7 linked regions of the Macaca mulatta genome follow. The main gene of each other region encodes a partner of the protein of the gene in region 3 in a complex. Links are inferred from orthologs where the notes say so. Each region holds a gene or a part of one and is shown on either strand. Other genes may lie near its edges.

What was found.
Region 1: E2F4 (region 3) and LIN52 share a complex: the UniProt entries of both Homo sapiens proteins name them as parts of the DREAM complex. The link is inferred for Macaca mulatta from reciprocal best matches to the Homo sapiens genes E2F4 and LIN52.
Region 2: E2F4 (region 3) and RBL1 share a complex: the UniProt entries of both Homo sapiens proteins name them as parts of the DREAM complex. The link is inferred for Macaca mulatta from reciprocal best matches to the Homo sapiens genes E2F4 and RBL1.
Region 4: E2F4 (region 3) and RBL2 share a complex: the UniProt entries of both Homo sapiens proteins name them as parts of the DREAM complex. The link is inferred for Macaca mulatta from reciprocal best matches to the Homo sapiens genes E2F4 and RBL2.
Region 5: E2F4 (region 3) and LIN54 share a complex: the UniProt entries of both Homo sapiens proteins name them as parts of the DREAM complex. The link is inferred for Macaca mulatta from reciprocal best matches to the Homo sapiens genes E2F4 and LIN54.
Region 6: E2F4 (region 3) and TFDP1 share a complex: the UniProt entries of both Homo sapiens proteins name them as parts of the DREAM complex. The link is inferred for Macaca mulatta from reciprocal best matches to the Homo sapiens genes E2F4 and TFDP1.
Region 7: E2F4 (region 3) and MYBL2 share a complex: the UniProt entries of both Homo sapiens proteins name them as parts of the DREAM complex. The link is inferred for Macaca mulatta from reciprocal best matches to the Homo sapiens genes E2F4 and MYBL2.

The regions. Positions count from the first base shown.
Region 1 is NC_133412.1:147,266,439-147,270,692, forward strand, and holds the start of LIN52 (protein lin-52 homolog), read left to right. Parts: upstream 1-1,352; 5' UTR 1,353-1,359; coding exon 1,360-1,390; intron 1,391-4,254. Other genes in the region: ALDH6A1 (methylmalonate-semialdehyde/malonate-semialdehyde dehydrogenase [acylating], mitochondrial), read right to left, coding at 739-792.
Region 2 is NC_133415.1:89,928,208-89,931,981, forward strand, and holds part of RBL1 (retinoblastoma-like protein 1), read right to left. Parts: coding exon 3,610-3,774; intron 2,937-3,609; coding exon 2,872-2,936; intron 2,762-2,871; coding exon 2,633-2,761; intron 2,522-2,632; coding exon 2,361-2,521; intron 750-2,360; coding exon 700-749; intron 1-699. UniProt on the Homo sapiens protein: Key regulator of entry into cell division. Directly involved in heterochromatin formation by maintaining overall chromatin structure and, in particular, that of constitutive heterochromatin by stabilizing histone methylation.
Region 3 is NC_133425.1:62,733,928-62,738,213, reverse strand, and holds the start of E2F4 (transcription factor E2F4), read right to left. Parts: upstream 2,863-4,286; 5' UTR 2,822-2,862; coding exon 2,687-2,821; intron 2,562-2,686; exon of another isoform or gene 2,508-2,561; coding exon of another isoform or gene 2,372-2,507; intron 2,288-2,371; coding exon 2,178-2,287; intron 2,040-2,177; coding exon 1,878-2,039; intron 1,570-1,877; coding exon 1,526-1,569; intron 628-1,525; coding exon 566-627; intron 345-565; coding exon 44-344; intron 1-43. UniProt on the Homo sapiens protein: Transcription activator that binds DNA cooperatively with DP proteins through the E2 recognition site, 5'-TTTC[CG]CGC-3' found in the promoter region of a number of genes whose products are involved in cell cycle regulation or in DNA replication.
Region 4 is NC_133425.1:48,962,284-48,966,057, reverse strand, and holds part of RBL2 (retinoblastoma-like protein 2), read right to left. Parts: intron 2,858-3,774; coding exon 2,786-2,857; intron 2,128-2,785; coding exon 2,022-2,127; intron 1,455-2,021; coding exon 1,246-1,454; intron 385-1,245; coding exon 220-384; intron 1-219. UniProt on the Homo sapiens protein: Key regulator of entry into cell division. Directly involved in heterochromatin formation by maintaining overall chromatin structure and, in particular, that of constitutive heterochromatin by stabilizing histone methylation.
Region 5 is NC_133410.1:50,841,235-50,845,008, reverse strand, and holds part of LIN54 (protein lin-54 homolog), read right to left. Parts: intron 2,130-3,774; coding exon 1,927-2,129; intron 1-1,926. UniProt on the Homo sapiens protein: Component of the DREAM complex, a multiprotein complex that can both act as a transcription activator or repressor depending on the context. In G0 phase, the complex binds to more than 800 promoters and is required for repression of E2F target genes.
Region 6 is NC_133422.1:107,853,088-107,856,861, reverse strand, and holds part of TFDP1 (transcription factor Dp-1), read right to left. Parts: intron 3,691-3,774; coding exon 3,569-3,690; intron 2,166-3,568; coding exon 2,000-2,165; intron 1,532-1,999; coding exon 1,388-1,531; intron 905-1,387; coding exon 836-904; intron 1-835. UniProt on the Homo sapiens protein: Can stimulate E2F-dependent transcription.
Region 7 is NC_133415.1:96,521,558-96,525,331, reverse strand, and holds part of MYBL2 (myb-related protein B), read right to left. Parts: intron 959-3,774; coding exon 738-958; intron 1-737. UniProt on the Homo sapiens protein: Transcription factor involved in the regulation of cell survival, proliferation, and differentiation. Transactivates the expression of the CLU gene.

The sequences.
Region 1 (4,254 bases), on a different chromosome or scaffold from region 3:
GGAACATACTGGTAGCGTTAACTGTGTGCCCTTATCTACCCTATGTACATGTGCCCTATCTATGTAAACTGTTTAACTTGGCTGAGAGAAAGTTTCACTGAAAGTTTTGGCAAGAAAGGGGACAGCCAGTCTATGGAAAATACAAAGAGCCACACTTAGGGAAAATAATTCGGTAAATGGCTGCCTTTGGTGAAAATCTAGAGTCCACTTCTAGAAGAAAATTCAAAGTTCATACACTGACCCTCGCCCCTCACGTTCCCCCTCCCTCTTACCTCGGATCACCACGGACAGTGAAGTAGGGTGGGGGAAGGGAGCAATGGCAACGTGGACGCTCAAGGCAGGGGACAGAATAACCAAAAAGAGTAGTTTCTGGGGGATAGAGAGAACGCTGGTGCAGAGGTGAAAGGGAAAGACGGTGGGCGGATGGAGAGATGAGGGCAAGAGACTGACAGCAGGGAGCGGGCAGAGCTGGAGAAGGAGAGTGGGCGAGAGCCAGAAAAGAGGAGGCTTAGGAGTAAAAGGGTAGAGGGCCAAGGGTAACAGCCCAGGGTTGGATCCGGGACGAGGGAGGGTATGAAGTGAGGGCTGGGCATGGGACAGGGCCCACAGGTTAGGTAGGAGGTCCGGCCAAAAAGGGGTTGGGCCAAGAAGGTGGTCCCAGCCCGAGGACGGCTCAGGGAGCGGACGGAAAGGATCCAATTCCTAGCTTCATGGTGCCTTGGCGCCACCCTCACTCGCCTGCAGGATCCTGGCTCGCACTGCCGCCGCCGCCGCCGCCACTACCGCCGCCATGGCTCTCGGCCGCCCTAGCTCCGCAACCCGCTCCTCTACAGCTCAGACGCACTACAGCTGCCAGGCCTAGCCCTCCATCCTGCCGGGCTTCCTCATTGGTGGGGAGGACTATTTTCTTCAGCCAATCACTCGTCCTAACACCTGATTCCTCCTCTCACACCCCAGTCCTGGGGATAAGTGATTGGTCAGGAGCGAAAATGCTCGCACCCTCTCCTACCTCAGCCAATGCCGTTGGCGGAGGTAGAGAAGACGCCCCCGACTTGGACACTCCATACTGAGCACACGGAGGAGACGCCCCCTAACCTGGAACTCCGATTGGCCAAGGACGCAACCGAGGCCCCACCCCTTCACTGAGCAAAGTAAATAAGACCCTCCAAGAATTTTGCTGTCGCTCCACCTCAACAACTGCATAAGGGGCGTGGCTATGATGAGGGGAGGGGCTGGGCGAAGATTGCCCTATGAGGCGAGGGAATGAGACGTGGCTGCGAGTTGGGGATAGGGTTTCTCTTTGGGGGCGTGGCTTATGGATCCTCGTTTTCCCGCCGACGGTTGGCCACGTCACGTGACATGGGTTGGAAGATGGCGTCTCCCACAGACGGTAAGAGCCGGCTTAGGGATGTTTGCCTGCAGCCTCCTTCTTTGCTGTATGGGGAACATCCACTCTGTCTCTGCCCCTCGAACATACATTTCTTTCTTGGGCTCTTCTCCTTTCCCTTTTGTTTTTTTTCTTGCGATCCATCGCCGTCTTCAGCTCACCGGTTCTTCGCAGCAGCTTCAGAGGTGCCCAGTTTCCCTGCTCTGTACCAGGCGTGTGGAGGAGGGCACTAGGGAGGGACTCATTCTGGGTAAAAGGACAGGGGTCGCCCTGGCCCTTCCTTATCTCTATTTGGGCGAGGCTGAGGGTAGAGGAGGAGATGTTACTGGAGGACGTGCCTTACTGTAGTTTTCTCCTTGGGGTATCCCATTGAAAGGATCAGTTCTCTTCTGATTGAGCGCACAGATGGAACGATTCTCAAACCCTCGCAGGGGCTGCTGGCTGACCCCATCTCGATAGTGAACCGCAAGAGAAACATGATCTCTCTCCTGTCTCCTCAGTTTGGGACCATTGCCGTGGCAGCAAGAGAAGCGGGGGACGTTCTCGGCCCCTCGCCGAGAGAGTCGCGAGGAGAATGAGTATTGAGCTTTTAAGTGTTGTCTTGCACAGGTCGCAACCGCTCTTTCATCTGCTTTACGTGTTGTTTCTTAAGGCTGAGTGAATGAACGATTTCTGTTTATATGTTGTGTAAAATGCAAGTCATCTCAAGTAACAAGTTGTTTTGGTATACTCCCATGCTTTTGCTTTTGGTTCTGCTTTAGAGAGGGTCTTGCAGTCATTTTTAAACTCATTTTTAGTTCTACCATCCGCATCCCAACTATATATCGATTTTATTGATATATAGGTTTCCCTCCCTTAGACAAACAGATTTTGTATTTGGAAGGAATCTTGGAAGTTCATTGCAGGAATGAAGAAATTGAAGCCAAGGTGAGCTGTATTGAGTACCTACTACATGAAAGGCATAATGCTAGGTGCTTTGGGAGACCAAAAGATGACTCAAACATACACACTTTTTTTTTTTTTTTTTCCAGTTTCAGTTCTCTTTTTAGATGTCACCTCCCAAAGAGTCTTTCTTAGAACACAGTATCTGGAGTTGCCCTTCCCCACCATTATTCATTGCCTCAGTATCTTCCTTGTCAGCATAGTTACTATGTTAACTTTGCCCCTTGTACGCTAGATTATAAATTACAAGTTTGTCTTGTTCATAGCTGGATTCCAGGTTTAGCACAGTGCCTGACGAACAGTAGGTCTTTAATTAACATGTATTGAAAGATTGATTAGATATGTGCAGAAATAATATATTACTTGATCTTAAGTTTTACGTTTAACCGAGTCTTAAATTTTGTGAGCACAGGTACATACTGTGTTAGAAATTATGGCCGGGCGTGGTGGTTCACACTTCTAATCCCAGCACTTTGGGAGGCTGAGGCAGGCAGATTGCCTGAGCTCAGGAGTTGAAGACGAGCCTAGACAACATGGTGAAACCCCATCTCTACAAAAAAATACAAAAATTATCTGGGTGTGGTGCCGTGCACCTGTAGTCCCAGCTACTTGGGGGGCTAAGGCAAGAGAATCACTTGAGCCTGGGGGTGGAGGCTGCAGTGAACCATGTTCATGTCACTGCACTCCAGTCTGGGTGACAAAGCGAGACCCCGTCTCAAAAAAAAAAGAAGGAAAAACAAGAAATTTGGATGTTTGGAGTCAAAAGAGATTCTCCTTCCTGGGTGCTCTCTTGCAAAAATGTCCTTCTCTCGCCAGAAAGAAAGGCATTTAAAAAGGGAATAGGGAGTTATTGTTAATGGGTACCAAATTTCAGTTTGGGAAGGTGAAAGTGTTCTGGAAATGAATGTGATGATTGCACAATTAATGTACTTAATACCACTGAACTCTATACTTAAAAGTTATTAAAATGGTAAAATTTATGTATATTTCACCACAATTTTTTTAAAAAGCCAAGTGATAGAAATAGAGGTAATTGTTATTAAATTTTTTAGTTTATTTTAAAATTGTTTTTACAAATTTTGGGGATTTTAGAGATGTGTTCCTTGAGTTTGGTTTTTTTTTTTCCTTGTCTTCTCTCAATTTAGTTTCCTTTCTTTGGCCAGGAAGAGTATTAAAAATGTTAAATTTTTTTCCTTTGGTCTTCTAGCCATCCCTATGGTCACTTTATTTGCACTCTTGATTTTTAAAAGTCTTCATTCTCATCTCTTACAAAGTTTTACTCCTCTCCACCTAATGTTTTCTTTTAATCTGAAAAAATCAAGTCAAGCACTTTGAACTTAAATTCAACGTCTCAGTAAGTATCTCATTCCAAAATATTCCATGGCCTAGCTCTCTCACTTCTATTTTTAGTGTTCCACCTGTCACTGTCTTTAAAATTTAATTCAGATAACATTGACTTGAAAATGTTTGTCATTTACTCTTTTGTCTTTTTCGTGATAAATTTGCTGGAGCTTCTTTGAAAAGGAGAAAACTGAAATTCAAATACAGCCATCTAATTACTTAATTTATGAGAGTAAGACTCACAGCAGAGTCTGAGTTCTATCCCAGACTGTGGGATAAGGTCACCCATGTAGGTTATTAGATTGTACCCCCAATAATTTTTTTTAAAATTTTCTTTTAGAGACAGGGTCTCTCTCACTCTATTGCCCATGCTGAAATGCAGTGGTATGATTATAGCTCACTGCACCCTCAAAGGCTCAAGCTATCCTCCCGTCTCAACCTCCCAAGTAGCTGGTACTATAGGCTCACACCACCATGCCCAGCTAATTTATTGTTATTATTATTTATTTTGTTTTGAGACGGAGTCTCACTCTGTCACCCAGGCTGGAGTGCCATGGCACGATCTCGGGTCACTGCAATCCCTG
Region 2 (3,774 bases), on a different chromosome or scaffold from region 3:
CCTGCCTCAGCCTCCCAAGTAGCTGGAATTACAGGTACCTGCCACCACACTCAGTTAATTTTTGTATTTTTAGTAAAGATGGGGTTTCACCATGTTGGCCAGGCTGATCTCAAACTCCTGACCTCAAGTGATCGGCCCGCCTTGGCCTCTTGAAGTGTTGGGATTATAGGCGTGAGCCACCATGCCCGGCCTCTTTCTTTTTTCCTTTTTTTTTTTTTTTTTTTGGAAATAGGGTCTCACTCTGTCACCCAGACCGAAGTGCAGTAGTGCAATCACGGCTCATTGCAACCTCAATCTCCCAGATTCAAACGATCCTCTCACCTAAGCCTCCCAAGTAGCTGGGACTACAGGCTCACACCACTATGTCCGGCTGATTTTTGTATTTTTTGTAGAGACAGGGTTTCACCATGTTGCCCAGGCTGGTCTCCAACTTTCTGAGCTAAAGCAATCTGCCTGCCTTGGCCTTCCAAAGTGCTGGGATTACAGGTGTGGGCCACCGTGCCCAGCCTTGATTTCTTAAAATAAATGTATTTAAAGCCAACAAGTCTTAGTGACAATACCCATTCAATGCCACTAAAGCAGACAGAACTTGAATTTGGAGGTCTTACTTTGATATAATGTTATGCTTAACAAATTTCAACAAATCAACAAATACGACAGCTTGTGATATGCCAGGCACCACTAGTACCAGATATTTACCTATTATCAGTAAAACTTGAAAGGTCCAGGAGGCATTCTCCTTTTAATATCTGTGAAGAAAAAATTATTTTGGGACACTATATAATTAAGCATATTAATACACACACAAACATGAAATTTATCTAAATTTCCATATTGTTATAACACACACACACAAAACAGAATAATTAAATATTTCTTTCAGACTAGGATAAACTATTTAGCATGCAAATAACATTAAAAAAAAATTTTTTTTTTTTGAGACAGGGTTTGGTTCTGTCACCAGGCCTGGAGTGCAGTGGTACAATCATGGCTCACTGCAGCCTCAGCCTGCCAAGTAGCTGGGACTACAAGCGTGCACCACCACACCCTACTAATTTTTGTATTGTTTGTAGAGACGAGGTTTTGCCATGTTGCCCAGGCTTGTCTGGAACTCTTGGGCTCAAGCAATCCACCTGCCTTGGCCTCCCAAGGTGTTGGCATTACAGGCGTGAGCCACCTCGCCCAGTCCCTGGGATCCTTTAAAAAAAGTTTACTTTGCTAGAGATGTTTAGCATACAGACAATGGGCCATAATATAGATATCTGAGGAACACAAAACTGAATACAAAAGTTTGCATAAAAGAAGAAGAAACCAGTAAGGGAAGAATTTATGCTTAAAGAAAAATCTCTTAATATTTGAAAAGTGGGATACGTAATCCAAACCCCTCCTTTTACCAAAGAGAAATCTTGAGGCCTAACTACATTTAATGGCTTGATGTTGGGGAAGTAAGAAATTGAGACCCAGAGGAACAAGCCAATTCATAAATGTAGAAATAGCTAAGTTAATTACTAAGGAGAAAATGTCCAGAATGCACACAGATAGCTTACAAGTGGCTACAAAACTATCATGGATTTTCTGCTCGATTTACATGGAATTAAAACTGTGGTTGTTGGCCGGGCGCGGTGGCTCAAGCCTGTAATCCCAGCACTTTGGGAGGCCGAGACAGGCGGATCACGAGGTCAGGAGATTGAGACTATCCTGGCTAATACGGTGAAACCCCGTCTCTACTAAAAAAATACAAAAAAAAAAAAAAAAACTAGCCGGGCGAGGTGGCGGGCGCCTGTAGTCCCAGCTACTCGGGAGGCTGAGGCAGGAGAATGGCGTAAACCCGGGAGGCGGAGCTTGCAGTGAGCTGAGATCCGGCCACTGCACTCCAGCCTGGGTGACAGAGCGAGACTCTGTCTCAAAAAAAAACAAAAAACAAAAAACAAAAAACTGTGGTTGTTATACATCATCCGACTTTTAGTCAACAGTCAGCCGTTATTCAAATTGTGGCAGTAAATTAGTCAGCTTATTCTGACTTCCTGTTTTTCCTAATTCTTTGTCAGCCCTACTCTGATGTTCTGTTCTTTACAATTCTTTATCAGTACCTCCTACACAGTCCCTGATAGCTGGGACTGCGGTTGCCTCTGACAGTATGTTTACCTAACAGAACATATAGTTGGTCACATTTTTCAACAGCTCTGTTTCTCACATCACACAAGATCATAAGGAAATTCCGAATCACAGTAGAGGCTAAAGCCTGGGAATCCTGACCCTAAGTTCTATAATGCTGAGAACTTGCTTAAAACTTTTTTTTCTTCTGACACTACTGCTGCTGACCTGTAAACATCTCAGTCATCTAATTATAAGTACAGTACCTTCCTGTCAAAGAGTTTTGAAATATATGGCTTAAAGTAGTGCTCCTTTATTCCTTTTGCTTCTACTAGAAGTCCATCATGCAGTTCACACAGTACAGCAATGATGCAGGGCGGCTCTTCAGAAGCCCTAAAGTCAGCAGTATGAAAATCAGACGGTAAACCTAGTTTGACAGTGTAGGAAGAGCAGAGGGAAAAAAAAAATATGCTCAACTTTCAAAAATCTTCTTCCAAAAACTGATAATCAGTTTTCAAAAATAAATAAAAGGTCTTACCTTTAAATGATGGATTTAGCAAGTCTTGTCTATTTGGGCACATAATCGCATTGGCAAAAATCAGATCCAAGCAGCATAGAAGTAAATGATAAGAGTTTACTAAGTCATCCCCAATCATCCGAAAATTACCTTTATAAGGGGGGAAAAAAAGAAAAGACACAAAAACCAGAAACCTCTCAAGTCAAATAGAACCAAGTTCCCACAGTAGAAATGTAAGACCACTGAAAGTGTCATCTTACCCTTAGTATAAACAAAAAGTGTCCAACAGAAATTAAACAGATCCTTAACACTGCAAGGAATCCTCCTAAAAAGGGAAAAAAATTACTTTTTGTCTGACTAGCTTGCTAAATATCATGTAAACTGAAATAGTAAATATAAATATCAAATAGATCAAATTACACATGAAATTCCATTCATGAAGAAAAGTGATCTACTATTTATGAAATGGACTTAAGTAAGCCTTTACAATCTACATAAAATAATCAGAACATAGGGCCAGGTGCGGTGGCTCACGTCTGTAATCCCAGCACTTTGGGAGGTCGAGGTGGGTGGGTCACCTGAGGTTATGAGTTGGAGACCATCTTGGCCAACACGGTGAAACCCCATCTCTACTAAAAATATAAAAAATCAGCCAGACAGGGTGGTGCACACCTGTGACCCCAGCTACTCAGGAGGCTGAGATAGGAGAATTGCTTGAACCTGGGAGACAGAGGTTGCAGTGAGCTGAGATCACGACACTGCACTCCAGCCTGGGCAGCAGAGCAAGACTCCATCTCAAAAAAAAAAAAAAAGAAAGAAAAATAAGTAAAAGTATTATTCTGAATTTCCAAATATGGATAATTGTACATGGATTTAAAAAGAAAATAATTAAGCTCTTTGCAGGAATACTTTTCATAAAAAACAGACTTTCGAAAAAGTACATTCTCTTAGTTTGTATCATAATCTTTTTGTCAATTATGTAAGGATTAAGGGCTCACCTCTGCTTCCGGCTTCGCAGTAACTTTGGTGGTTCTTCATATGGATTTTGAAATATATCTAAAAAAATTGGCTCATATTTTTTGAATATTACAGTAGACACCTCAAAATTTCTCTCTAGCCTTTCTATACGTTCACGAAATTCTTGTGGTAGATTTGACATGTCC
Region 3 (4,286 bases):
ACTGCCTCTTGGGCCTCTGTCACAAGCTCCCATGGTGCCTCACCTGTGATCTCAGCTGCTGGGCCAGCCATTCCCTGGACTTCTGCGCTGCCGGGGACAGGAGTGGGAGTGAGCTGAGGACTATTTGGACGTGAGGCTTCCTGGGATTGGGACTGGGCTAGGGCAGGCTTCGGCAGAGGTGGAGGCGTGGAAACAGCAGGTGGGTTCTGGAGCAGATCTTCAGGTGGTGGCACAGGCACAGCCACAGGGGGTGAGCTCCATGCCTCCTTGTTCACCAGCAGAACCTCAATGGGACCACTCACACTCTTCAGGTGAATCTGGTACTTCTTCTGCCCATTGAGACCCTAGAGATGGGTGGTAAGGGATGGGAGATGGGTAGAATTGGAAGCAGGCTTGGCTCCTGCCCGACTCTGTCAGGACCAGTGTCCTCTCCCACCCAGGATGCCCATCCTCCTAGATAACCCCAAACTCCAGGCCTCCCCTACCTGCCCCACCCGGGACTTATCAGTCTCCACAGCCAGCACCCGCCCTCAGCTGACCCCGCCTGCCTGGGCTAAGCACCCACCTCTGGGATGGGCACCTCCAGGCTGGTGCCTGATGGGGCCCGGATGGCCAAGAGGGTATCTCCTAGAATGACATGGAGAATGGGTCAGAGCCCATGGGCTCAATCTGAGCTGGGAACAGAGGTGCCTGTCTTTTGGAGCAAGGCAGGAGATCATGGTCTCTGAGGGACTAGACAGTGGACCTCACCCATTCCCCATAGTGGCTGGGCAGAGCTAAAGCTCTTCTCTTCCTGAGAGCCCAGAGTCAGTAACCAGGAAATCTGGGTTCAAGTATGTGGAGTCAAATATCACTGGCCACAGGCACCTCACTCTTCCACCGATGGCTGTTCCCTAGGTGAAGGTATTCTAGCCAAGGCCAACATCCCTTTCCCATGACCAGTCAGGAGGATACATGATGGAGAAGAAACACATCAGCGGGGCACAGTGGCTCACACTTATAATCCCAGCACTTTAGGGGGTTGAGCGGGGAAGACAGCTTGAGCTCAGGAGTTCAAGACCAGCCTGGCAACATAGCAAGACCCTGTCTCTTTTTAAAAAAAAAAAAAAAGGAAAGAAAAAAAAGGAACATATCCTGCATTCACAATGCAATTAAACTAACAAGTTGGAGGTGGGCACCCCCATGCCCTGCATGTAAGAGCCTGCACACAAGCAAATACACACATATCCTCTCTCCCTTTCTCCCCCTTGTACCTCTATCATACTCAAGAAGCCAAATCCAGGAAACAGTACAGTTGGGAACAGACCCAGGAACCCACTCCAGAATTCCTGTACCCTCTTGGTATAGCTGACCTCCACAGGGTCCCAGTGACACTCAGACAGAAGACTTACCCTGCCTGGTTCCTCTCTGAGCAGGCCCCAGAAACCCTCTTAAGAGACGGAACTCTCCTGAGACACTGAACCCAGTGCTCAGGGATTTGGTTGAGCCCAGCCCACCCCCTCACCCCTACCCAGGCTCTGCTCACCAGCAAAGCATCTGCAGATGTCCTCATGAGTGACGTAGGCCAAAGTGTGAGGGTTAAGGAGAATGGCCGATGCCCTATGGTGACAGATGGCAGACTACAAAAAAGACCCAATTCTTTAGCCAAGGTCTGACACAGAGGCCCCTCAGAGAAAGTTCTGGGGACTCAGGTCCACTGGGGGAGGGATCACAGGCTAAGACTGGAAGGGGAGAGGCTCTGAGGAGGGAGCCTGAGGCTGGGCCATGGCCAGGGGCCACAGGACAAGCTCCCAAGAGGAACAGGGAGCTTGCCCAGGGCAAGTTGAACCAGAGGGCCCCTTGCCCACTCCCCCCAGGAGGGAACGCCAGGAGGATATCAGCTGTTCTGCACGTCCTCTGTGACGTTCCGGATGCTCTGCTGCACCCACACCTTGTGCTGGTCTAGTTCTTGCTCCCGCTGCTGCAGCTCCTCGATCTCTGCCTTGAGCTCAATCAGCTTGTCGGCAATCTCCCGGGTATTGCAGCCAGGCCCCACACCCCTGAGCCCAGGGAGTGGGGCTGAGAGGGACTGCTGAGAACTCTGGGTCCCACGGCCCCTGCCTTCTTTGGCACCCTCCACCCCACCCCCGACACTTCTGGGTGGGAGACTCTACTACCCTCCCACTATCCCCACTCACTTCCACTGGATGCTGTTCTTGGACTTTTTCTCGATCAGCCCGATACCTTCCAAAACATTGGTAATGTCGTAAATCCGCCGCTTCTGGCGTACAGCTAGGGTGTCAGCTGCCTGGCAGACAGAGTGGAGAATGCTCAGCCCCACTCTCGGGTGTACCCCCAGCCACCCTGAGACGTGGTCTGGGAAGGGAGTAACCTGGATTCCAACCCTGTAGTGCCTGCCAGGCGCTACTGCAGCTCAGGCCCGCAGCTCTGTCCCATAGGCAGCTCTTCTCCTCGCCAGCCAGGAAGGGCCACGAGGACGAACACCTGGAGCCCCGAGCCTGGCCCATAGCTGTAGCTCAATGGCCTCGGCCGAATGAATGAAACATTCCCCGGCTTCTCTCCTGTGAGAAAGCACACGATGGCGGCCGGCTCTCGGAGGACCCAGCTGGGCCGCCCCCGGGGTTCCCGCTACCGGCCCAGGCCTGGTCCACCATCCTCCCTTGTCGCCCCTTAGCCCGGGCCGCACCAGCTTGAGGTCAAGCACGCCGTCCTTGGCCTCCTGCAGAAGAGACACGAACTTGGTGGTGAGTAGTCCCAGGCTCTTTTCGTGCCGGCTTGGAGTGCCCGGGGGCGGCGGCGCCTGCGGCCCGGCCTCCGCCATCGCGTCCGCCCGCCGCCTCCCCTCAGCCAGGCCAGGCCAGGCCGGCGCCGCCGCCACTTCCGCTTCCGTTCCTGGCCGTCCGGCAGCCGGAGCCAGCGTTGCTGCTTCCGCTTCCGCCCCGTGCGTCTTCCAGGGAACGCGGCGCTATTGCTGTCTGTGGGTGCAACCGCAAAACTTCAGGGACCATTAGCAAATGTCCAGCCGCCGAATAAGACGAAAACTACCTGGGTAGACCGGGAGTTGGGATGAAGTTAGGGAGGAATGAGGAGGGCGTCAGTGGGCAGCCCTGGCAGTAGAGAAAGGGATGCCATCGGAACTTTCCTTGCCAATCTGCCCCAACATCACTAACTCTGCCCAGTCCCCATCTCGGGAGACAAGACCACACTACCTGACTAATCCAATCTGTTCCCTCAAATCAGTTCCTTTTAAATTTTTTTCTCTTTATTTATTCTTTTATATTTCAAACTCATTTTACTGCCACATCAAAAATGTTCCTAAAGGTTCCCCTACTGTCTTGGGGTCACCCCATCTATTCCTGTCCCTCACTTCCTGCCAAACAGCAAGCACTAACTATATCTACCTTGTCCACCTCTCTCCATCCATGGTCCTAGCCTCATCTTTCGCTCATCTTGTCCTCCCGCTACAGTGCTCAGAGACTATGGGGTTATATACACTTCAGCCAATGCAAACGTATTTACCTATGTGTATATATCAGTAAAGCACTCAGAGTCATTTCTGGCATGTAGGAAAGTTTGCTAGGGTCATTTTGTTACTTGTAACATTGTTACTATTTATTATTGTTTCTTTTAGGTCAGGTTCTATGGGAAATGGGACTCGAGACAGGGTTTTGCAGCAAGTTTGTTGGGGATCCACACTTCTTTTTTTTTTTTTTTTTTTTGAGACAGGATCTCACTCTGTTGCCCAGGCTGGAGTGCAGTGGCAAGATCAATGCCATCTCAGCTTCCTGGGCCCAAGCGATTCTCCCACCTCAGCCTCCCAAGTAGCTGGGACCACAGGCATGCACACACCATGCCTGGCTCATTTATTTTTAGTTTTTGTAGAGATGAGAGTCTCACTATATTGTCCAGGCTAGTCTCGAACTCATAGGCTCAAGCGATCCTCAGACCTCATCCCAATGCTGGGATGACAGCGTGAGCCATCACACCTGGTCAGGATCCACACCTTTAAGGGAGTAAGACAAGCAGAATCGGGCAGATGCAATTATATTATAGGCCTCAGCCTATGCCACTAGGATCTCTGAAATTGGGGTAGCACTTCTGAAGAGTTTATGTTCACGTGATGGTACCATGCTTTTGCACCCCAATATTGATCTCAGCAGCCTACACTCCTGGCAGCTGGAGAATGAGCACTTCTGTCCTGAAGGGTGGATTTGGGTGGTGGACTGAACATCCACTAAATTATTACCACCTTATAGTCCCTTCCCTGGCTCCCTATAACTCTCAAG
Region 4 (3,774 bases), about 14 Mb from region 3:
GAAATCCAAATCCCTTACCCTGTTTCCAACCCTAAAATTCCACCCTCAAGAAAAGCAAAAAAACAACAAATCCTGGGTTTTGCTGCATGGGAACTGACTGATCACTGCTCCCTGGTAGCTCTCATCACTCTAATGAGTGCCTAGGCTTAGCACAAACCCTCTTTCTAGCATCTGAAGCATTTTGGGGTTAGTAAAGGCCAAGATTGATGTTAGGCTCACCTTTGAAGGACTGTTGCTGAAGTAATAGAAAATCTTTTCTCGAGGAGAAAGCATTGTTTCATTTTTATGTGGGGAAATGTAGACAGGATGATTTTGAGACAACTGTATTCGGCGAGGGGAGCCTGTTCTTACAAATGGATAGGGAGAGAGTGGAGGAGCATCCATCTGTTAAAAAAAAAAAATCAGTAACTCTAAGAAATTTATAATGAGGTATTTTTACTGAGAATGATAAGAGTGATATATTAGCACTAATTTAACCTAAAGAAAAACATTCTAATAGCAAACCTTAAGTGCTTAGTTTGTGCCAGTTATTATTTTAAGCAATTTTTATACATTATGTCATTTCATCCTTACAACTCCATATGCTAAGAACTAGTTATATTCCCATGTTTTATATATATGAGGAAACAAGGTACAGAGAAAATTTAATGATTTGCAAGGTTACCACTACTGTTACGTACTAGACAATTTGAACCCATGTAGCCTGTCTCTTGTACTACTATACTTTGTAGGGACTCCAAATACAATCTTATTCTTGTTTAATGCTTAACAACAGAACTTATGTTGGTTAGGTAAATTACAGACCTCCTCAGTTTTACTTAATAGAATTATTTGTAAAACTAGCTTATTTATTTATGAGACAGAGTCTCGTTCTGTCGCCCAGGCTGGAGTGCAGTGGCGCAATCTCAGCTCACTGCAACCTCTACCTCCCATGTTCAAACAATTCTCCTGCCTTAGCCCCCAGAGTAGCTGGGATTACACATGTGTTCTACCACGCCTGGCTCATTTTTGTATTTTTAGTGGAGACTGGGTTTTATTTACCACGTTGGCCAGGCTGGTCTCGAACTTCTGACCTCCACTGATCTGCCCGCTTCAGCCTCCCAAAGTGCTGGGATTACAGGTGTTAGCCACCACGCTTGGCCAAAACTAGTTTATATATGGACCAGGTGAATGGTCCATATATAAATCATAAATAATTCCTCAATACTCATGAAAAAAGCATGAAATGATCCCTGTAATACTTACTACATTTGCCTGGGAGTACTTCATGGCAAATGTCTTAATCTGTTTGATGTAGATGTTGTTGTAGAACTGAATGAGGTCTCCCCTCTCTTCTTCTTCCATGTCACTGTTGGCACCTGTGAGGCGAGTAGGTGTAGGAGGAGCACTGCTGGGCTGTGGAACTGGCAAGGTGCTGCTTGACCTCATGACTGGACTGGAGTCTCTACTGGCTGCTTCCAGGAGAACACAGGGTGTCAATACAAAAGCTGCTAGTATAGATTGTTTTAATTTTTAAAAAGTAGGAGAAAGGGAACAGCTACCTGCATTACTTGCTAATAACAGTGAATAGGCATTCTGTTCTTCACACCAAAAGGCAAAGCTCAGCTAGGATTTTAACTTGATATCCCTATGCCATAACCATAGCAAGGGCTTTCTGAGTAGTATTAATAAGCTACACCAAGTTTTCTAGGACCTAAGCCCTAGGACAAACCAACAGGTAGGGGATGGTATTTCCATAGCATGGCTCCAACTGACATGTCAGTCCTTTCTGAAACTCAGGCAAGCAGATTCCTCACTGAAAGCTCTAATTCTCCTGGAGAAAAATGTTATAGAATATGTGCCCCAAAGCTATGGAATGGACAGTTTTGCCACCCAGAATTTGGTTTACTGATCCATTAAACCCTTTGTTTATACACTTTCATAGTTTCTATAGTTATTTCATTTAGTAATGGTTACTTCAAGTCCTAAAAAGTAAGAAAAGCTCCTAATTTTGTCTTGTAGTTCACAAAGATCCCACTTACTTCTATCTTTGTTTAGTTCTGTTGGAGAATTCTGATGGCTTCTGCTATCACTGCTGCCGGAATTTCGTCTTTTTCTTTTCCCTTTTATCAAAACACTTCTATACACCTTTAGAGAAATAATGAGAAGGGGATGTAAACTAGTATTTGTTGAGCACACCCTTGGTGATAGGACCTTGACATATGTTACTTTTCACAATAATCTGTGTAGCAATAGTTGTCCTCAGAAGAGGTTAAGAAACATAACTCAAATTATAACAGATCTAAGATTCAATCAGAGCCCATCTAGCTTCACATGCCAAGTACTACTTGCAGTACCACGCTGCGGTAACAGCACCCAACCATAAAGTCAAGTCATTCTAAGTCAGATACACAGATCTGCCAATTTGCCTCTCAGAGACGAATCGTAATAAAGGCAAAGTGGGTTTTAAATTTCCATGTGACATTCTCTTGGTTAAACGTACAGTATGTTTACTAAACCAGAATGGTGACATAGAAACCAAGTAACTTCTTAATTCCAATCTATCTTGTGATTTTTCTGAATTGAGAAGGCAATCAAATATTTAACATTGTTGCCTTCTGAGGAAAAGAGAACTTAATCAACATGTGACATCAAGAATAAAGAAGATTAAAGCAGAAATTTCCCTTAAGTAGAGTCCCAGGTGTTTATCTTGGAAAAAAAGGCCACAGAGTCAACTATGGTTAATTTTTTGTATTCATCACAGACTTTAAGCGTTATTTTCAGCTCATAGAGAAAATGTAGTTACCTGGCTCCGGGCCTGTGGCTGAGTCCTATAACAACGCATAATATTCTGGAAGGACTTATCTTCTTTTGTGACCTGGCAAACAATAAGAGTGCTCTGAGAGATACAACAACTTCCACCATAATAGTGTGAGGAGCTGTGTGAACCTGCTGCCCAGTAAAAGGGGTGAAAATTATATAAAAGCTATTTAAAGTCTCTGGAAATGGTATTAAAGGCATATAGCAAATGAAGATACATCGATTCAAGAATATCTATTAAAATTCATTAAGAATAATATGTGAATCAAGACTTAGAGGCCGCTGCGGTGGTTCACACCTGTAATTCCAGCACTTTGGGAGGCCGAGGAGGGTGGCTCACTTGAAGTCAGGAGTTCAGCCTGGCCATCATGGTGAAACCCAGTATCTACTAAAAATTCAAAAATTAGCCAGGCATGGTGGCATGTGCCTGTAATCCCAGCTACTAGGGAGGCTGAGACAGGAGAATCACTTGAACCCGAGAGACGGAGGTTGCAGTGAGCTGAGATTGAGCCACTGTACAGTCTGGGCAACAGAGCAAGACTCATCTCAAAAAAAAAGACTTGGAGTAGAAAATTACAGTAACTGAAATGAAAAATTCACTAGAAGCTAGGGAAAATAGATTTGAAGTAGCAAAAAAACCAAAAAGATTAGCAAACGTGAAGAGATGGTGTGATCTGAGAACAGAGAAAGAATGAAGAAAAATAAACAGCCTCAGAGAAATGTGGCACAGCATTAAGGAAATCAACATAAGTGTAATGGGAGAATCAGGAGAGGAGAGAAAGAAGCAGAAAAAAATGTTCAAAGAAATACTGAAAACTTCCCAAATTTATTAAATTACATCTCCAGGACATTCAGTAACTTGCAAGTAGGATAAACTCATCTATAACCAGATATATCACAGTAAAAATGCTCAAAGCCGAAGAAAGAGAAAATATTGAAAGCATCAAGAGAAAAACAACTTTTCAGTTACAGGGA
Region 5 (3,774 bases), on a different chromosome or scaffold from region 3:
AATCTAACCACGAACTCAACAACCTGTGAGTAAGCGGTCACTAACAAGTATACTAAACGATGAAGTCTGAAATTAAAGCTCACTATGGCAAGAAAGGGTAATTGAGAATTCAGGCTGCCATGCAGCTGTATAGGAATCTTTAACATACAAACCAGCATTTTAAACTAGAAAATATTAATTTAAGGTTTTGGTCACTTGAAACAAGCTTGTTAACATGCTAGCATAACTTTTTTTATACAAGTTTTTAATACGTAGTTTTGATTATAATGTATAATTTTATAATTTTGTTTTCGTATCCTAAACATCTTCCCAATTTTAAAAAATTATAAATATTTTACTGTGGCAGTATCTTTAATCTCCATGTGGAGATTATATTCAGTACTCTAAAGACCAGAATCCCAGGTTATAAGCCTCATTAAGGTGTCTGACCATTTCCACTTTATTCAGTCAAAAACTATTTGCTGCTTATATTCCAGTCATAAGAGTTCTTTAGACTTAATATCTTAAGGCCAGGTGCGGTGGCTCACTCCTGTAATCCCAGCACTTTGGGAAGCTGAGATGGACAGATCACCTGAGGTCAGGTATTCAAGACCAGGCTGGCCAACACAGACCTCATCTCTACTAAAAATACATAAAATTAGCTGGGCGTGGTGGTGTATGCCTGAATTCCCAGCTACTTAGGAGGCTGAGGCAGGAGAATTGCTTAAACCCAGGAGGCGGAGATTGCACTGAGCTGAGATCATGACACTGCACACCAGCCTGGGCAACAGAGTGAGACTATCTCTCAAAAAGAAAAGAGAAAAAAAAAAACAAAAAACTAGTATCTTAAATATTTGAAAAAAAAAAAAAAAGCCTTATTTTTATAAGCACTGGATCTCCTTTTCAACTGAGGCATTTTATTTTTGAGATGGAGTTTTGTTCTCGTTGCCTAGTCTGGAGTGCAATTGTGCGATCTCGGCTCACTGCAACCTCTGCCTCCCGGGCCCAAGCGATTCTCCTGTGTCAGCTTCCCGAGTAGCTGGGATTACAAGCGTGCACCACACACTCAGCTAACTTTTTGTATTTTTAGTAGAGATGGGGTTTCACCACGTTGGCCAGGCTGGTCTCAAACCCTTGACCTCAGGTGATCCGCCCACCGCGGCCTCCCAAAGTGCGAGGATTATAGGCGTGAGTCACCGTGCCTGGCCTACTTAGGCATTTTAAATCATATGCCATTTGCAAGGTGCATTCCATTTAATAATTCCTCAAATTAACCTCTAACAAACTTTCTAATACCAGTCCAGTCCAAATCACAAACTATGTTTTATCAGGTCTTGACAGACACTGCAGATATTACAGACATGCCTTATTTCTCACAGCCACCTGGTATAGGCTATTTTAAGGACAAGAAAACTGAGGCTCAAAGAAATTCACAAACTACTAAGCAGCACAGATAGTATAAACTCAAGTCTACCTGACTTTAGAGGTCAAGCTTTTCTACTCCAGAACTCAGCAGATAAGAGATAACAATAAGGAGCTGCACTATTACAGTGTGATGGGTGGCCCAATAGGATGGGAAAACTGCTCCAAGAAATGGAAGAGGCAAGAGAAGGTAAGAAAATGCAAAAACAATAATTACACGTTCAGCGAGACATATGAAACATCTGGTTTTCTTTAGGATTCCTCAAATTACATAATTACCTCATCTTAGTAGAAATTAAGCACAGTGGACTAAATCATTACTGTGCATTTTCGAACTGCCCAATAATCTGACAGTGGCTTCTGTTACCTTTAAATTCCTTTACAAGTAACTAAAGATGGAAAGAAAATGCAAAAATCAGGTTTGCAACAACCAAAAGTATAAACTCAACTTTGCCCCCTGAAAAGAAACTTTATCAAAAGTGAGTATTTGGGAAATACTATAAAAAGATTAAAATACTGACTTACTTTCCGCCTCCACTATTTAAAGCTGGTGTTGGCCTAGTAAGCAAGTCTGAAATTTGAGAGGATAACTTCGTCTTGGCTGCTGTTTGTTGCTGTACCCTTACTTCAGCTGCATCTGCCAAATGCATCAATGTCTTCCTTTCCGGGCTTTCTTCAAAATTCTTACAGCCAATACATTTGCATATTGAGGAACACATTATTTTTGCCTAAAAGATTTACAAAAGAAAAGTTTCCAAATCAAAACCAAAATACATTACTGGAAGTAGATGCCATGATCAAATCAACAGCTAATAGCATTACCTGGTCAACTGATAATAAGATTAGATGGAAGCATCTCTGGCTGACAAACAGTAACTACACATGTGGCTAGCTAGGTTAGGTATTCTTAAGTCTGACAGTGGCTGTATAACATTTGTGGCTGTGTCCTTCCATGTCAGTTTTCCCCCACTATGGATATAGATTTTCCTCAGATATGAATAACACATGTTTCTCATAACATGAATGATACATTAAAATATCAAAAATAAGGGTCATCCAGAATCCAGCCACCTCAATCAAATCATCACTAACATGTAGATGATCTCCCATTTATGCATATGTATATAATTTCATATTAAAGGGATTTCATAGATGCTATTTTTATTATTCTATTATGCTATTTTAATCTGAAGAGGGAGTTCGGGAGGGACTTCAGATTCCCAAAACCCTTCAATAACCCATATGAAACTAGGGTGTGTTTTACATTTTATATAAATATATATTTTCATGTAAAAATGTCATATATTTATATAAAACCGTAGACCTTATGTATATACACAAATACAGAACTTTCACTTTTTAGTTTTTCAAAGTCATATACCTGCTTTTTTGCATCTTGCTTTTCTTATACTACAACTCATGGAATCCCTCCAAAGTCATCTGGCATAGCTTGAATTCATTGTATTTAACGGCTCCAGTTCTTGGGTACCACAAATGATGCATAAAGAGTATTTTTTTTGGTATACATTATGCCTTTTTATTTCTCTGAGTTAGATTTCTAGAATTGGGCTCACTGGATAACAGGTCATGTATTTTAATTTTTTTTTTTTTTTGAGACGGAGTCTCGCTCAGCCACCCAGGCTGGAGTGCAGTGACACGATCTCAGCTCACTGCAAGCTCCGCCTCCTGGGTTCACACCATTCTCCTGCCTCAGCCTCCCAAGTAGCTGGGACTACAGGCTCCCACCACCACGCCCAGCTAATTTTTTGCATTTTTAGTAGAGAGGGGTTTCACTGTGTTAGCCAGGATGGTCTCGATCTCCTGACCTAGTGATCCGCCTGCCTTGGCCTCCCAAAGTGTTGGGATTACAGGCATGAGCCACCGCGCCCGGCCAGATTGCTTTTTCAAACGGCTGTAATACCTCACATCTCATCAGCGATGTGTAAAGGAAGGATTTCCCACATTCCCTCCAACAATGGATATTATAATTCCTTTTAACATTTTATGCCAGGCATGGTGGCTCACGCCTGTAATCCCAGCACTTTGGGAGGCTGAGGTGGGAGGATCACCAGAGGTCGGGAGTTCAAGACCAGCCTGACCAACATGGAGAAACCCCGTCTCTGCTAAAGAGAAAAAAAAATTAGCCAGTGGCACATGCCTGTAATCTCAGCTACTCGGGAGGCTGAGGCAGGAGAATCGCTTGAACCCTGGAGGTGTGGAGGTTGTGGTGAGCCGAGATCACGCCACTGCACTCCAGCCTGGGCAACAAGAATGAAACTCTGTCTCAAAAAAAAAAAAAAAAAAAAAAATTTATAATCTGATGGTGTGGGTGATAAAGTGAGATTTCACTGTTCTTTAATTTATATTTCCCTG
Region 6 (3,774 bases), on a different chromosome or scaffold from region 3:
GCCACCCTGGGTCTATCCCCGTTGGGCAGGTACTAAGGCACTGGCAACCAGGACTGTCCCTCCTGACAGACTCTGTGGCCCTGAGCAGCTCTCGCCCACGAGTCTCCATCACCATGGCTGCCACACCATCCCCTCTGGGAGGGCTCGAGCACACCTCGGCCAGAGCAGCAGTCAGCTCTGCACTGAGCACCTTGCACACGACCCCCTCCACACCAGACACGGGGCCCCCAGGGGTGCCGCCCACCCTCAGCACTCAATGGGAGGTGGGAAAGGCCAGCTCCAGGGCCCTGATCAGCACTGTCAAGACCCAGGTGCATTGCGCCCACCACAGTTTTACATGCCTCGCCTGGCACCTGGGCCTTGGGTTAAGCACCTCTGAGGGGATTTTTCAAATGCTGCTTTTGCATGAAGTCATCCCTCCATCTGTCTTTTGGCTGTTTAGACACTGTGACGAGGGATACACACATACACATGCACACACACAGGCACATGGATGCAGGCACACACACGCAGGCACGCACACACATGCGTGCACACACACGCAGGCACACACGCAGGCATGCACACACATGCACACACACAGGCACATGGACGCAGGTGCACACACACATGCACACACACACGCACGCATGCATGCATACGCACACACATACACAACCTCGCTCTGGGAACACGGCCCACATTCAACACCTATGAGATGAACTCACACTCAGAATCTTAAAGCAGTCATTTAATTTGCCACACAGGAGCGTAACCCAAGGCAGTATGTTGCTGTTATAAAACTAAATTAGTAAAATAAAAATTACCCTGCCTCCAAAGATATGTATTCTCTTACCTGTAGAATAAGTTCTTGAAGTTGAGACTGTTTCTGTTTTATTCTTTCAAGTCTCCTCTGTCTTTCCACCTTCAAAAACAAACCCCCCATGTAGAGAATCATCACGATTGTTCCATACAGTGCATTTTACAACCCGCATCCTCAGTGTTACCTATGTTTACCTTGAATGTAATCGAAGGGATATGGACAAATCTAGACATAGCAGGTGCCACAAAATACAGGTGAGTTTTTCTTCCATTTCTAAACTATACCTTTTCCCCTCTCCTCTCATTTCTTGGATTTAACTATGGTATCTAAAAAGAAAACAAAAATCCCACAAACTAGGATTCACAATTAACCTATGCTAGAGTTTAACACACTCTAGTGGGTCTGGACCAACCATGCTCCCTCCCCTGACAGCCGAGACTGAGAAACGCAGGGAGACGTCTGCATGACCGTCTGCCAGCCGTCTGGACACAGAGAGCATAAGGGCATGGAGCCCAGACCCTTCTGAGTGACGGACAACAAACACATCTACACAGACTTGAAGGGAAATCAAGGTTGAAGGGCCACCTCTAAGTTCTGACATTCCTGAGCCGAGTTGGTGGGCAGACCAATCCACTTGATCTCCTTCTTCTCCTTGGAGATGATGTTCATGGCCATCAGCACGTTTAAGGCATCGTAGACGCGCCGTCTTATGTTCTTCTGGTCATAAGCCTGCGGATGACAGGGAGTGGATTTTCCAAATGATCCAAAAAAGCCTGTGGATCCCACCTTAAACTGTAGGCCACGCGCACCGGCTTGAAGGGGCACCCCGCTCACAGAGCTGTCACCCCAACACGTCCTCAGGGAGCACTCCCACCCTACAGATGATGCAGGGCAAGACAGGGCTGTGCGAATCCCGGTGTGTTCCAGGAGGGGAGCTGGGGGCCCTCTGGTGTCGAGCCCAGCTGGCGAGGAGGGCACGTCTGCATTTCTGGGCCGCTGGATGTGCAGAGCCAGCCCACGTGCTCGCTCACTGACGCTGACAGAGCATCATGCCAGCAAATGGACTGGGAAAAATTCTGTCATGCTGTACTTGGAATTTTCTGTATGGTTTTAACTGTTCCCAATATTAAAAGAGTAAAACGTGCCACACCACTTGGTTCCGCTACCCTGGCCTCTCGGCCCCCAGCACACACTTACTGACTCGTTTGGTAAGATGTGGTTGTCGGCAGCACTGAACTCCGCGACCAGCTCGTCCGCCACTTCGTTGTAGGAAGTGGTCCCTTTCCTCTGCACCTTCTCGCAGACCTTCATGGAGAAATGCCGCAGGCCCTTGCCATTCTTCTCTCCTTTCCTGTTGCGCTTCCTTCAAAATACAAAGGAAAAAAGAAGCGACTGTCAGCCCTCCTGAGCATCAGTCTGAATCGAGGAATGCTTTTACCTGAGAGCTCTAATGAGCTGCACAAAAAGGGGCCACATCCCACGGGCGCAGCAGATCCAACACGTGAGCAGGCCAGGACCACCTAGCCCCAGCCCCCAGGCCCAGTGCTCCTGCAGGTCAGAAAGCGAGTGTCTCCCTGGCAGGCTGCACCTCTGTCCTTCCAAGTGTCAGGGAAAACGGGAGGCGTCCCCAGGACCCGAATCAGCATATGGAAGGCCTATCAGTACTCAGCATATGAGAGGCCTATCAGTACACCAAGCACTTCTTTTTTTTTTTTTCTTTTTTGAGATGGAGTCTCGCTCTGTAGTGGGCTGGAGTGCGGTGGCACGATCTTGGCTCACTGCAACCTCCGCCTCCTGGGTTCAAGCAATTCTCCTGCCTCAGCCTCCCAAGAGCTGGGATTACAACAGGCGCCCGCCTGCCACCACACCTGGCTAATTTTTTTGTATTTTTAGTAGAGACAGGGTTTCAGCATGTTGGCCAGGATGGTCTCAATCTCTTGACCTCATGATCTGCCGGCCTCGGCCTCCCACAGGGCTGGGATTACAGGTGTGAGCCACAGGCATCACTTTTCTAAAGAGGGCAACCAGAATCAGGAACTATGGGACATTTCAGTGTACATTTGGGAATTTTTAGGACAAATTTCAGCAGGCTATAATTTCATACGGCTTGGGCTGTGATAGCCGCTTGACAACAGGTGCAAACCACTAAGTGTTCTTCACACAGAGGGAAAGCCCAACTCTACACTCTGGTCAGTCCCCACGTGGCGGGAAAGGTCACCTGCGGTCCCAGCTGGTGAAGCTTTGGGCACCGACACAGGTAGGTTTTTGTAGCTTTGCATGTGTGTTTTTTTAAGGAAAGACACAGCTCATCAGATCTTGCTTTAGTGGAAGGAGCCACTCTGGTGGGACCACTCACGGGGGCCGTAACCCCAGGGGCAGTAGAGGCTGCATTCAGGGGCAGTGGGTGAAATCCATCCCGCGTGCTCCCAGCACAGACGATGAAAAGTCTCCAAGGTCCTGTGGCAAGTACAAGGCCAGCTTCTCCCCGTCTTGGCCAAGAGCTGCCAGCCCTTCCAAGAGCACCCACTACACCAGACACAAAGCAGGGTGGGCAGTGCCCAGCCCGACTTCTCCGTGACCGAGGCAGTGCGCCTCGACTGCACACCTGTGCGGGGCACGATGATGGGTGAGTGTGATTCGGAGGCTGACATCAATGCGCATGGGAGCCCCACCGTGCGACTGTGTCACGCACGTGGCCCAGGAGAACGTGGAGGTGCGAACCGCAAGCAATCCTACAACTCTAAGGGTCCGGAGGGAAGTGCTCACCCGGCAGACCAAGGTGAGGAGTCGGAAGGCTGGTTCTGAGAGGCAAAGTGAGTGCTGGGGGTGTGTGGGCTTCCTACCACCAGGGTGTTTGACGCTGCCGGTCTCTGAGGCGTACCAATTACCTATAGTCAAAAAAGACAATTCAGACAGTCAGTCCCCGCCCACACGGCGAGGGTGCCACGCCCACCAACTGTTCGCTATCCACA
Region 7 (3,774 bases), on a different chromosome or scaffold from region 3:
TCATGATCCACCTGCCTCAGCCTCCCCAAAGTGCTGGGATTACAGGCGTGAGCCACTGCGCCCAGCCTGACCATTTTCTTCTTCTTTTTTTTTTTTTTTGAGATGGAGTCTCGCTCTGTAGCCCAGGCTGGAGTGCAGTGGCCGGATCTCAGCTCACTGCAAGCTCCGCCTCCCGGGTTTACACCATTCTCCTGCCTCAGCCTCCCGAGTAGCTGGGACTATAGGCGCCGGCCACCTCGCCCGGCTAGTTTTTTGTATTTTTAGTAGAGACGGGGTTTCATCGTGTTAGCCAGGATGGTCTCGATCTCCTGACCTCATGATCCGCCCGTCTCGGCCTCCCAAAGTACTGGGATTATACATTTTCTTCTTAAAGAAAGCCCATCTACTCCACATCTCAAGTCTATTCTGTGTTAGAAGAAACTGAAGTCGAAGAGAAGAGGCTAACCAAGAAGACACAGTGAGCTGGGAACTGGATGAGAACTAGACTCCAGGGTTCTCACTTTCTTGCTGAGGCCTCCCTTATCACCATCTGTTCTTTTAAGCTGACAGAAGACAGGGCCTTCCTGGGGAACCACCCTTCCTCCCGACTATGCATGCCTCTGGGAGTCCTGAAGCCGAGGCTGGGTGTTAGAGAACAAGAGCATAGGACCACAGTACCCACCAAGGAACCCTCCTCCATCAGAAACATGGGCCTGGCCTCCTGAGAACCTGCCCCAACCCCCAAGAAGACAGCTTACCTCCCTGGCAACATCTTGGCAATCTCGGCCCAGCGGTTGCCCAGCACCTTGTGGGCCTCGCAGATAATGCGGTCCTCCTCCTCGGTCCAGCAAGACTTCTTCACCTCAGGGTTGAGGTGGTTGTGCCAGCGTTCACGGCACTGCTTCCCCAGCCGGCCCTTCAGGTGCTTGGCAATCAGTGTCCACTGCTTTGTGCCGTACTTCTTAACCAGCTCGATGACCTTGGAGAAAAGCCTCTGGGTAGCCAGTTGCACCAGCCCCTCCCTCGCCCTTCACATCCACCTGAGCCTTGCCACGGCCCTGGGAGGTGCCACCTACCACATCCCCTCAGGCAACACGGAGCGGGTGGCAGGGGATGCCACGCAGTATGACTCTGTGTAGCCCATAAGTCCTACCTGAGGATCTGACCACACCCCTCTCATTTACTGCCTGGAATAAATCTAGGTCAAGAATGCCAGCGACTCTTTCTAGAGCAGAGATCAAGCCGGGGTAAACAAAGGCACCAGAGTCCTGCTTCCCTCTTCAGGGCTCAACCCAATAAGCTAAGTATAAAAGAGCAGAGGGATGAGGAGGAACAACCACAAGGGTCCAAACTAAAGGTGGGAAATAGACTTTCCCACCCCGGCCATGCCCCAGGCTGCCACAAGACCTCCCAGCACTTCTGTGGAAATTGGGAGGGCACAGGCTGAGCCATGGTAGCAGGCATGGCGGGCTGACCTAGCTGGACCTGAGTCCCCACCTGCCCTCAGTCAGGCTTCCTAGCTCAGGACACAAACCACAACATACTCAGCCACAAGAGCCAGGCCACGCCCTGCCTATACAACAGACACACACATTCTCGTGTGCACACAGGCCACAAGAAACTGGGAAGAGTGGATGCTTCTTTTGGCAAAGATTTTGGTGAATAAATATTTGACTTCATTTCTGTATGGTTTAAATTTTTATAGCAACCACATATCACTTTGTTTTTTGTTTTTGTTTTTTTTAAAGATTTTATGTTTTTACTTTATTTTCATTTTTTGAGATGAAGTTTTGCTCTTGTTGCCCAGGCTGGAATGCAATGGCACAATCTTGGCTCACCACAACCTCCGCCTCCCAGGTTCAAGCGATTCTCCTGCCTCAGCCTTCCAAGTAGCTGGGATTACAGGCATGCGCCACCACACCCGGCTAATTTTGTACTTTTAGTAGAGACGGGGTCTCTCCATGTCGGTCAGGCTGGTCTTGAACTCCCGACCTGAGGTGATCCGCCTGACTCGGCCTCCCAACGTGCTGGGATTATAGGCATGAGCCACCGCGCCCAGCCCAATTTTATGTTTTTACTTTTTTAGAGACAGGGTCTCACTGGTGTGCAGGGGGGCGATCTCAGCTCACTGCAACCTCTGCATCCCAGGTTCAAGCGATTCTCCAGCCTCAGCCTCCCAAGTAGCTGGGATTCAGGTACACCACCACACCTTGCTAATTTTTGTATTTTTTGGTAGATGGGGTTTCATCATATTGGCCAGGCTGTTCTCAGACTCCTGACCTCAAGTTATCCACCCACCTCAGCCTCCCAAAGTGCTGAGATTACAGGTGTGAGTTACCACACTCAGGCAAAAAAGTATTTTCAAACTAAATTTTATTTTATTCTTAAGAGACAAGGTCTCAGGCCGGGCCCAGTGGCTCATGCCTGTAATCCTAGCACTTTGGGAGGTCGAGGCGGGTGGATCACCTGAGGTCAGGAGTTCGACAACAGCCTGACCAACATGGCAAAACCCCCTCTCTACTAAAAACGCAAAAATCACCCAGACATGGTGGCGTGCACCTGTAATCTCATCTGCTTAGGAGGCTGAGGCAGGAGAATCGCTTGTACCTGGGAGGCAGAGGTTGCAGTGAGCTGAGATCATGCCATTGCACTCCAGCCTAGGCAACAAGAGCGAAACTCAACCTCAAAAATAAATAAATAAATAAATAAATTTCATTCTTTTTCTTTTTCAAGACAGAGTTTCACTCTTACAGCCAAGGCTGGAGTACAATGGCGCAATCTCGGCTCACTGCAACCTCCGCCTCCCCAGTTCGGGTGATTCTCCTGCCTCAGCCTCCCAAGCAGCTGGGATTACAGACATGCGTTACCATACCAGGCTCATTTTTGCATTTTTAGTAGAGACACAGTTTCGCCATGTTGGTCAGGCTGCCTCGAACTCCTGATGTCAGGTGATCCACCCACCCCAGCCTCCCAAAATGCTGGGATTGCAGGCGTGAGCCACCACACCCAGGCTTTATTTTTTTTTTTTTTTTTGAGGCAGGGTCTCACTGTGTCACCCAAGCTAGAATGCAGTAGTGTGATCATAGCTCACTGCGGCCTTGAATTCCTGGGCTCAAATGATCCTCCCAACTCGCCTTCCATCTACAGGCACCCTACCACCACACTGAGTTAATTAAAATTAATTTCAAGGTGAAGTGCCAGCCATGGCTCATGACTATAATCCCAGAACTTTGGGAGGCCAAGGTGAGAAGATAGCTTGAGCCCTGTAGTTCAAGACCAGCCTGGGAATCATAGGAAGACCCTGTCTCTATAAATTAAAAAAAAAAAAAAAAAAAAGGCTGGGCACAGCGGCTTGCGCTTGCAATCCCAGAACTTTGGGAGGCCAAGGTGGGTGGATCACAAGGTCAGGAGTTCAAGACCAGTCAGGCCAACGTGGTGAAACCCCATCTCTACTAAAAATACAAAAATTAGCCAGGAGTGGTGGTGGGAGCCTGTAATCCCAGCTCCTCAGGAGACTGAGGCAGAGAATTGCTTAGATCCGGGAGGCAGAGGTTGCAGTAAGCCAAGATCGCGCCATTGCACTCCAGCCTGGGCAACAAAGCAAGACTCAGTCTCAAAAAATAGAAAAAAAGAAAGAACAGGAATAGTGGCTCATACCTATAATCCCAGCACTTTGGGAGGCTGACATGGGAGGATCATTTGAGCCCAGAAGTTCAACCAGCCTGGGCAGCATAGCAAGACACTGTCTCTACAAAAATTTTTCAAGAAGATTAGCCAGGCATGGTGGCACATGTA